Saccharomyces cerevisiae S288C: one gene and its partner. The protein of the gene in region 2 interacts with the protein of the main gene of each other region in a pairwise test. Each region holds a gene or a part of one and is shown on either strand. Other genes may lie near its edges.

Region 1 (3,952 bases), on a different chromosome or scaffold from region 2:
TCTTCATCGTCGTTAAATTCCACGTCACCTTCCATAACGTGACCATATTGGCAGGTTCTTCTCCCATCAATGATACGCCAAAGCCGTGAGGGGCAGTTGTCTGTACCGCAGATGGGACCTCTTATGAAAGTAGACATCCTTAAGTGATGTAGGGGTATGTCCGAGTAGTTCGTTCAACTATTTTTAAAGACACATCGTTCCAGGTTTATATTCATATACATATGTATGTATTGTATAGGTTTTTTTATTTTTTATTTTTTATTTTTTTTTTTTTTTTTTTCAATTTTTTTAAGCTTTTCTTACTTTTCCGATGCCCTTTCCACTTTAATCAATATACGTATGAAATTCAGCCGAAGTTTCCGTTTGATAATATATTAGATTCAATATAAAAAAAAGTTTATATGATTCAGTGTATATATATATATATAAATAAGAGGTGCGAAAGCCCACATAAAGAGATTGAAGAGACTGCGTAAAAAGAAATATATAGAGAGATACTCTTAAAAGTCTTCGTTGAAGGTGAAAGCACCGGCTTCTTGCTTAGTCGACTTGGACATAACACCAGCCTTTTGGTAGTCAGAAACTCTCTTTTCGAAGAAGTTGGTCTTACCGGCCAAGGAGATGTTTTCCATGAAATCGAAGGGGTTTTCGACCTTGTAGTATTTCTTGTTACCGAAAGCAACCAACAGTCTGTCGGCGACGAACTCAACGTATTGGTTCATTAAGTCAGCGTTCATACCTAGCAAAGCAACTGGTAAGGCGTCCAAGAAGTATCTTTGTTCAATTTCCACAGCCTCGGTGACAATTTTTTCAACAATGGCTGGGTCTGGTTTGTTCTTCAAATGGGCGAACAACAAGCATGCAAAGTCGGTGTGCAAACCTTCGTCTCTACAGATCAATTCGTTGGAAAAGGTTAAACCGGGCATCATACCTCTCTTTTTCAACCAGAAAATGGAGGCAAAGGAACCGGAGAAAAAGACACCTTCAATGGAGGCAAAGGCAACTAGTCTTTCACCAAACAAGGCGTCAGCGTCTTGAATCCATCTTAAAGCCCATTCGGCCTTCTCACCGATTTCTGGGATGGTGTGAATGGCATTGAACAAGAATTCACTTTCTTTAGGGTCCTTGATGTAAGTATCGATCAACAAGGAGTAAGTTTCAGAGTGAATATTTTCAATCATGATTTGGAAACCGTAGAAACTCTTTGCCTCTGGAATTTGGACTTCGGTGGAGAAGTTTTCAACCAAGTTTTCATTAACAATACCGTCAGAAGCGGCGAAAAAGGCAAGAACTCTGGAAATGAAAAATCTCTCGTTTTCGTTCATTCTGTTGTTCCAGTCATGGATATCCTTAGACAAATCAATTTCTTCAGCGGTCCAGAAAGAAGCTTCGGCACGCTTGTAGGCTTGCCAGATTTCATGGTACTTGATAGGGAAAAGAACAGTTCTCTCCTTGTCTTCATTCAACAAAGGTTCCTCCTTTTCCATTTCCTTAAGTTTGTGACGGTGAACTTGATGAGATTTCAAGTAAGCCTTGTGATTTTCAGCGTCCTTGCTCAATTTCTCCTTAAGCATGTCTGACTTTACTCTGTTTTCCTCTCTCAATGTCTCCAATTCCTTGTTAAGGTTGGACTTGGAATCTTTGATTTCCAAGTCGGACAATGCATCGGCAGCAGCTTTGGAAGGGGTCTCTTTAGGCATGGTAATTGGACAAATAAATACGTGTATTAAGTTTGGATTCTTTGGTAGATAGCCAATCGAGGGAACAATTAAAAAAAAGAAAGAAATAAAAGACAAGAAGAAGAGCGAAAAAGGGGAAAGTGATGAGGAAAAGAACAATAGATAGATCCAGAAGATGATGGTAACGCGCAAACACTACCGCTATATATACCTACAAAACTCTCATTCTCTCATTTCCTGCTTCGTTCATTTCGAGTTTCCAAGGGTATGGTACGGTGCTATCTGCCCGTGCTTCCCCTCCTTTGCTTTGCTAAGAAAAATTTTCTTTTGTCAGCAGCAACAACACGCTACGCTCTGCGCTGTGCTACGAAGTGGTCTCTGTGGCAACGGGGACATTGTACCCATGCCCGCTCGCAGGGAGGTCTGGGTGTGGGGCGTGTGCGACCTCGTTGCCATGGCGATCGCGCGTGGGTGTGGTCTTTCCCCAAACGGTTGCCCGTTGCTCCGGATTTCGCATAGTTGTCGCGTAAACAAAAAACACGAGAGAGGGCGGACGGCGCTGAATAGTGGAAGATCGCGCGATGTCAAGTAAATAAGCTTGTATTTGTATTTGTATGTGTTTATGTGTTTGTGTGGTTGAGAATTTTATTTTCCTCCTAGTTTTTTCTTTTTTGAGTGCGGAGGGGCAGTGCTCTAAACTTTGCCTGCTTCTTGTTCGACTTCGGCTTCCTATGCAGAACGCAAAATCGCGTGCGCGAGGAACGAGGAAGACAACGCTTTAGATTGGCTTTTTCGTCGCCCATGCCCGTTGCGATAGCGATATGATGAGAAATCGATAAAAGGTTGCACCAGTACACCGCACTTTCTGGCGTGCTTGGATCTGGCTTGCGCGGCCTCGTGCCAGTAAGTAGAAAAGTAGTAATATGGCATGGCGAAAGAGAACAAAACAAGCAAAGCAAGCGTAATGCACAGCTGTGGCTAAAAAAAGAGCACAGAGGTGAAGGGAAAAAAAGATAAAGAAATTAAGGAGGTTGAGAGGGCTTGTGTGTCGATGCTTGGTGAGGCGGGACGTAACGGTTTTTTGTCTGTAGGCACTTCTACCCCACAGGGCCATGAATCTGGCCCGAAACCGTTGCGAGCGTGCCAATTGGTGGTGATATCTTTTTTCTTCCCTTTTTTTTTGTTTTCCGTTCTGTTATGTTCCTTCATCTTGAATTCACTAAAGGGAACAGAAGAAAAAGTTGGATATTAGATAAGCGGTACTTTTCTACAGGTCTAGTATTATTCCTCGGTTGGAACAAGAAATAGTGCTTCAGTAGCTCAGTAGGAAGAGCGTCAGTCTCATAATCTGAAGGTCGAGAGTTCGAACCTCCCCTGGAGCATATTTTTATACGTATATCTTTTTTCCCTCTATTTTGTTTTTTTTTTCTTTGTTTTTTCGTAGCTAGTAAAGAAGAGAAGGAGACCTAAAGTGTATATATACTTAATCTGCGATCATTGAAAAGTCGCTAGCTTATTGTCACTTACTGCATTTTCACAACATCTTCCATTTTTGTTTTCTCAGAAGGACAATGCTGGAAGGTACGGTAGATTATGACCCGCTGGAAGATATTACCAATATACTTTTTTCAAAAGAATCCCTGAACAACATAGATGAACTGATCAGTATTACCAGAAGCTACAAAAAGCAATTGCAAGAGGATATTCTCAAAGAAGAGAATGAATTGAAGGAACACCCTAAAAATTCCGCTGAAATAGAGGCTTCTCTGAGGAAAGTTTTCCAAGATTTCAAAGAAACTCAAGATGTCTCAGCCTCCACCGAGTTGACGATATCGAATCTGACAGAAGGTATCTCGTACCTGGACATTGCCAAGAAAAACCTCACCCACTCTTTGACTCTTTTCCAAAATTTAAAGATATTGACAGACAGTTACATACAATGCAATGAATTACTCTCACAGGGCTCATTCAAAAAAATGGTGTCCCCTTATAAGATAATGTGTTCGCTTGCTGAAAACACATTCATCTCTTACAAATCATTGGACGAGATAAACTATTTGTTGAGCTCCATTTCAAGACTGAAAGGAGACACTTTGTCCAAAATTAAACAAAACTACAATGCGCTCTTTTCCGGCGGCAATATCTCAGAGCATGATACAGCACTCACTATGGAATTGCGCGAAGGTGCCTGCGAGCTACTCGACTGCGATACAAGTACGAGAGCCCAGATGATAGATTGGTGTTTGGACAAACTTCTCTTCGAAATGAAAGAG
Region 2 (3,782 bases):
TGTTTAAGTATTATCCACGCTTGGGACCTTTTGGATTCGAATCACGTCATGAAAGATTCTTCTGGGTTCATCCATATACCTTAACTTTGTACTGGTCCGCTTCTAATCCCATCCTAGAGAATCCTGCCAATACCAAAACAAAAGGTGTTGCCATTCTAGGAGTAGAAAGTGTCACAGACCCAAACCCATATCCAACAGGATTGTATCACAAAAGTATTGTTGTTACCACAGAAACTAGGACTATTAAGTTTACTTGTCCTACAAGGCAAAGACACAATATTTGGTATAATTCATTACGTTATTTACTTCAAAGGAACATGCAAGGGATAAGTTTAGAGGACATCGCTGATGATCCAACAGATAATATGTATTCAGGAAAGATTTTCCCATTGCCCGGCGAAAATACAAAGAGCTCCAGTAAAAGACTTAGCGCATCGAGAAGGTCCGTATCTACAAGGTCTCTAAGACATAGAGTACCACAAAGCCGATCATTTGGCAATTTACGATAGTTAAAAAAACTAAATAACTCTAAGTAAATTAAGAACAATAATAATCATTATTTCGATTTTTAGTCCTGTAAACACGTTTGCCACCGATGAGTAACACTGAAAGATCAGAGAAAGAAAAAAAAATTCTACCTAATGAAATAAATAAACTAAAAAGATTAAATTAACTAATTCTCATGTTAGTAGGTCACGAATTCTTTAATTTTGTTTTGTGACTGAAATAAATATGAAAACGATAATGAATAAATAAATAAGGAGAGGCAGCAGAAATACGCCAAATATTCAAAGGGCTTTGTTGTTGACCGACTACCAAGTCATCCTTTGCAATGCTTTAACACTAGTATGTAAGTTCCTAGGCTTACTCAAATTAGTGATATTATCGTTGTTGCTTGGGGCTAGGGAAGTAGGAAGTGGAGTCAACGCCGTATCCTTACTTCTTCCATCGTTAGCATTTTGATATATTTCAACGTCCTTATCATCACCGTGTTTGAAACAGCAACGCTTACCGTACGGACAGTAGCCTAACTTCGACCAATTTATGCAAGGTTTAGTTCTATAATTGTTTGATTTTTTCTTGAATTTCAGTTCATTAAGACCATGAGCAAATTGGCATTTATTTCCATACTTACAATAGCCTTTAATAGTAAAAGATTCACAGAGCTCAGTTTTGTATAAGGTCTTATTGACTAATTGAGGAAGCTGCAAAGGTGCCCTTCTACAAGGTTCCAGTTTTGTTGTTTTCTGAATTGGAAGTGTGTATGGAAGTCCAGTAGACTGAGAATCCACCTGAGATAGTTTTTGTAAATTCTCCGCTGTCAGGGGTAATGAAAATGCACTTGTCGTGTAAGTAGGGTTAATCTCAACTTCGAGTGACCTTTTCTTACGTTTTTTCTCAGTTGTAGCAAGTGTTGAGATGTTATTATTGCCTGCGAAAGGGTTATTAATAGGTAATGTATTTGTAGGTCTGGAATCTGATATGATCAAGTCTTTAAAATCTCCCAACGGATGATAACAGTTTGGTTTGGATGGTAACCAAGGAGAAGGCCTTGGTGAGTATTCACTTAAAATGTCCGTTTCATTTATATTATGCCCCTCGGAGCTGCTGCTGTCATCATTATCGGTATTTTCATTGAGCAGTGTCTTTATATAATATTCTTCGATTTCTTTAATCTTTGACTCGTACTCCTTGTTGAGATCAGAAAAGATCGAGGACGTAGTCGTTGAGGTCGAATTGGCATTCGGTATGTTTAAATAGTAGCTGTTTGGAGCAACATTCGGCATCATGGCTAGTGTTAATCCTTAATAGTTCTTATTGGTTGAGTTGCCGAAGAGACTGTGATATAGGGTTCTACGGCTTTACAATCAACTTATGGGTGAAGAGGCTAAATAAGATGTGACTTGTTAAGAGAGCAAGCGCAACAAGAGTGCAAAACCGTCACACTATGTCCAATGATCTACACTATCAACCTTTGAGTTAATGTTCTCTGATCCAGTATATTAGTAACTGCTCACACTGATCAAGAGCGTGAGAGAATACGAGCGAAAAAGAAAGAAGAAAAATTTGGGTGCCATTGGCACAGACCCTAAAAGAGATGTGAGAGAAGTGGGCCATATATGTATATTTTTCCCGAATGTCCTAATAAGTAATGATTGGAAATCCTAGGTCTATAAACTCGGGTAACAGAAGGTGGAAAATGAAAATTTTCTATTTTCCAATTGTAAAATCAGCAGGCATCGTTAGATTGGCTTTAAAGAGCTGAGTTTCCCATGCTGTCGGTTGGTATAATTTAAGGAAAAGCCCTCCCTCCATATCCAGAAGGCACTTGTTAATACTATGGATTATAAGGAAGAACAGAAGCAGGAACTAGAAGTTTTAGAGTCCATTTATCCTGATGAACTGAGGATCATAAACGATGAATACCCAAAGATTAAATTTGAAGTAGCCATTAAATTAGAGCTGGATACAGGTGATTCTACTTCTGTTTTAACCAAAGAGCACACTATAATCGCCGAATTCAAGTTACCAGAAAACTACCCTGACGAACCATGCCTGATTTCATTGGAAGCTCAAGAAGTAGCCCTCAATGACAACGAAGAAGATAACGAGGAAGATGAAGACGAGGTTGAATATGACGACCATGGTAATAAAGTACTGAAAAAGTTTGAAAACCTGCCAGATTTAATAAGCTTTAAGGGGTACTTGCCTGAATTAACCGTACAATTAGAATCGCAAATCGAAACCGATATGTTATTGGGTATGCAAATGTGTTTTGCATTGATTTCATCCATAAAAGAAAGATGTGAGCAATGGTATAGTGAACAATTGAATAAGCTCGAGAAGCAGTACGAGCTGGAAGCACAAGAACGTGAAAAGAAGGAACAGGCCAAGTTCCATGGTACTAAAGTCACAAGAGAATCGTACTTGGAATGGAGGTCTAAATTTCGCCAAGAACTGAAACTGGATGAAAGAGACCAGGTGAGAAGGATGAAGGCTCATCATGGGAAGCTAACCGGTAAGCAAATGTTTGAACAAGGCGTGGTGGGCACAGGCGACGAGTATATGGAAGAGGATGACGCGAGTGTAGATGACGTAGCCAAGGGACTTGCCAAGACCGAAATAGCAAATCAATAAATACTTGTGTACTTAAGTATTTAAGTATTTTCTTCTGCATGGATAATGACATATACAAATGTATCTATATAATATTTTTTTGATATTCAATAAAAAGAAAACTGACATTTGAAGAAGGAAATAGACAAGTTTTTAGTAAGATATTATTAGTGTATATATGGATACATATATCTGAGAATGAAAATTTGTTGACTGTATTGAATGTATTGGGAGATGAAGGGGTATTTGGTGATTAGACCAACGACTTGGAGTAAGAGAATAAGTCGGAAAATGCATCATTTCCCTTCGACTTGTCCTTTGTAGCCTGAGGACGGGCTTTTTGCTGTTTTTTCTCCGCAAAGGGCAATGATGTTTGCGCAGCAGCGGTGGTATCTGTGTCTGACTTTGGGCCATCCCAGTCAAGCAAATCATCTATTTTACTATTGGAAGTTTTAGGTGCTGTTGTGTCGGGACTCGTTTCGCTTTGGAAGTCGCCAAACTCATCATCATCATCATCACTATTGCTGTTGATATTATTGTTTTTGTTGTCATTATTACCATTGTCTATTGTTATATTATTCGTGGTGCTAGTACTATCGTCAAGATCGATTAAGTCAGGGATGCTATCTTGTTGTTGCTTTCTTTTCCTCTGCTGTTCTTTATTT

Evidence for each region.
Region 1: the proteins of CTH1 (region 2) and RNR2 interact in a two-hybrid assay, tested with the Saccharomyces cerevisiae proteins (one study listed by BioGRID).

Annotation. Positions count from the first base shown.
Region 1 is NC_001142.9:390,152-394,103, reverse strand, and holds RNR2 (ribonucleotide-diphosphate reductase subunit RNR2), read right to left. Parts: upstream 1,701-3,952; coding exon 501-1,700; downstream 1-500. Other genes in the region: RRN7 (Rrn7p), read right to left, coding at 1-137; YJL027C (uncharacterized protein), read left to right, coding at 1,855-2,271; YJL028W (uncharacterized protein), read right to left, coding at 2,458-2,793; VPS53 (Vps53p), read left to right, coding at 3,251-3,952. UniProt on the Saccharomyces cerevisiae protein: Provides the precursors necessary for DNA synthesis. Catalyzes the biosynthesis of deoxyribonucleotides from the corresponding ribonucleotides. RNR2 provides the diiron-tyrosyl radical center.
Region 2 is NC_001136.10:763,366-767,147, forward strand, and holds CTH1 (putative mRNA-binding protein CTH1), read right to left. Parts: upstream 1,791-3,782; coding exon 813-1,790; downstream 1-812. Other genes in the region: NUM1 (Num1p), read left to right, coding at 1-509; GIR2 (Gir2p), read left to right, coding at 2,341-3,138; ENT5 (Ent5p), read right to left, coding at 3,371-3,782. UniProt on the Saccharomyces cerevisiae protein: Binds to specific AU-rich elements (ARE) in the 3'-untranslated region of target mRNAs and promotes their degradation. In response to iron deficiency, promotes the decay of many mRNAs encoding proteins involved in iron-dependent pathways.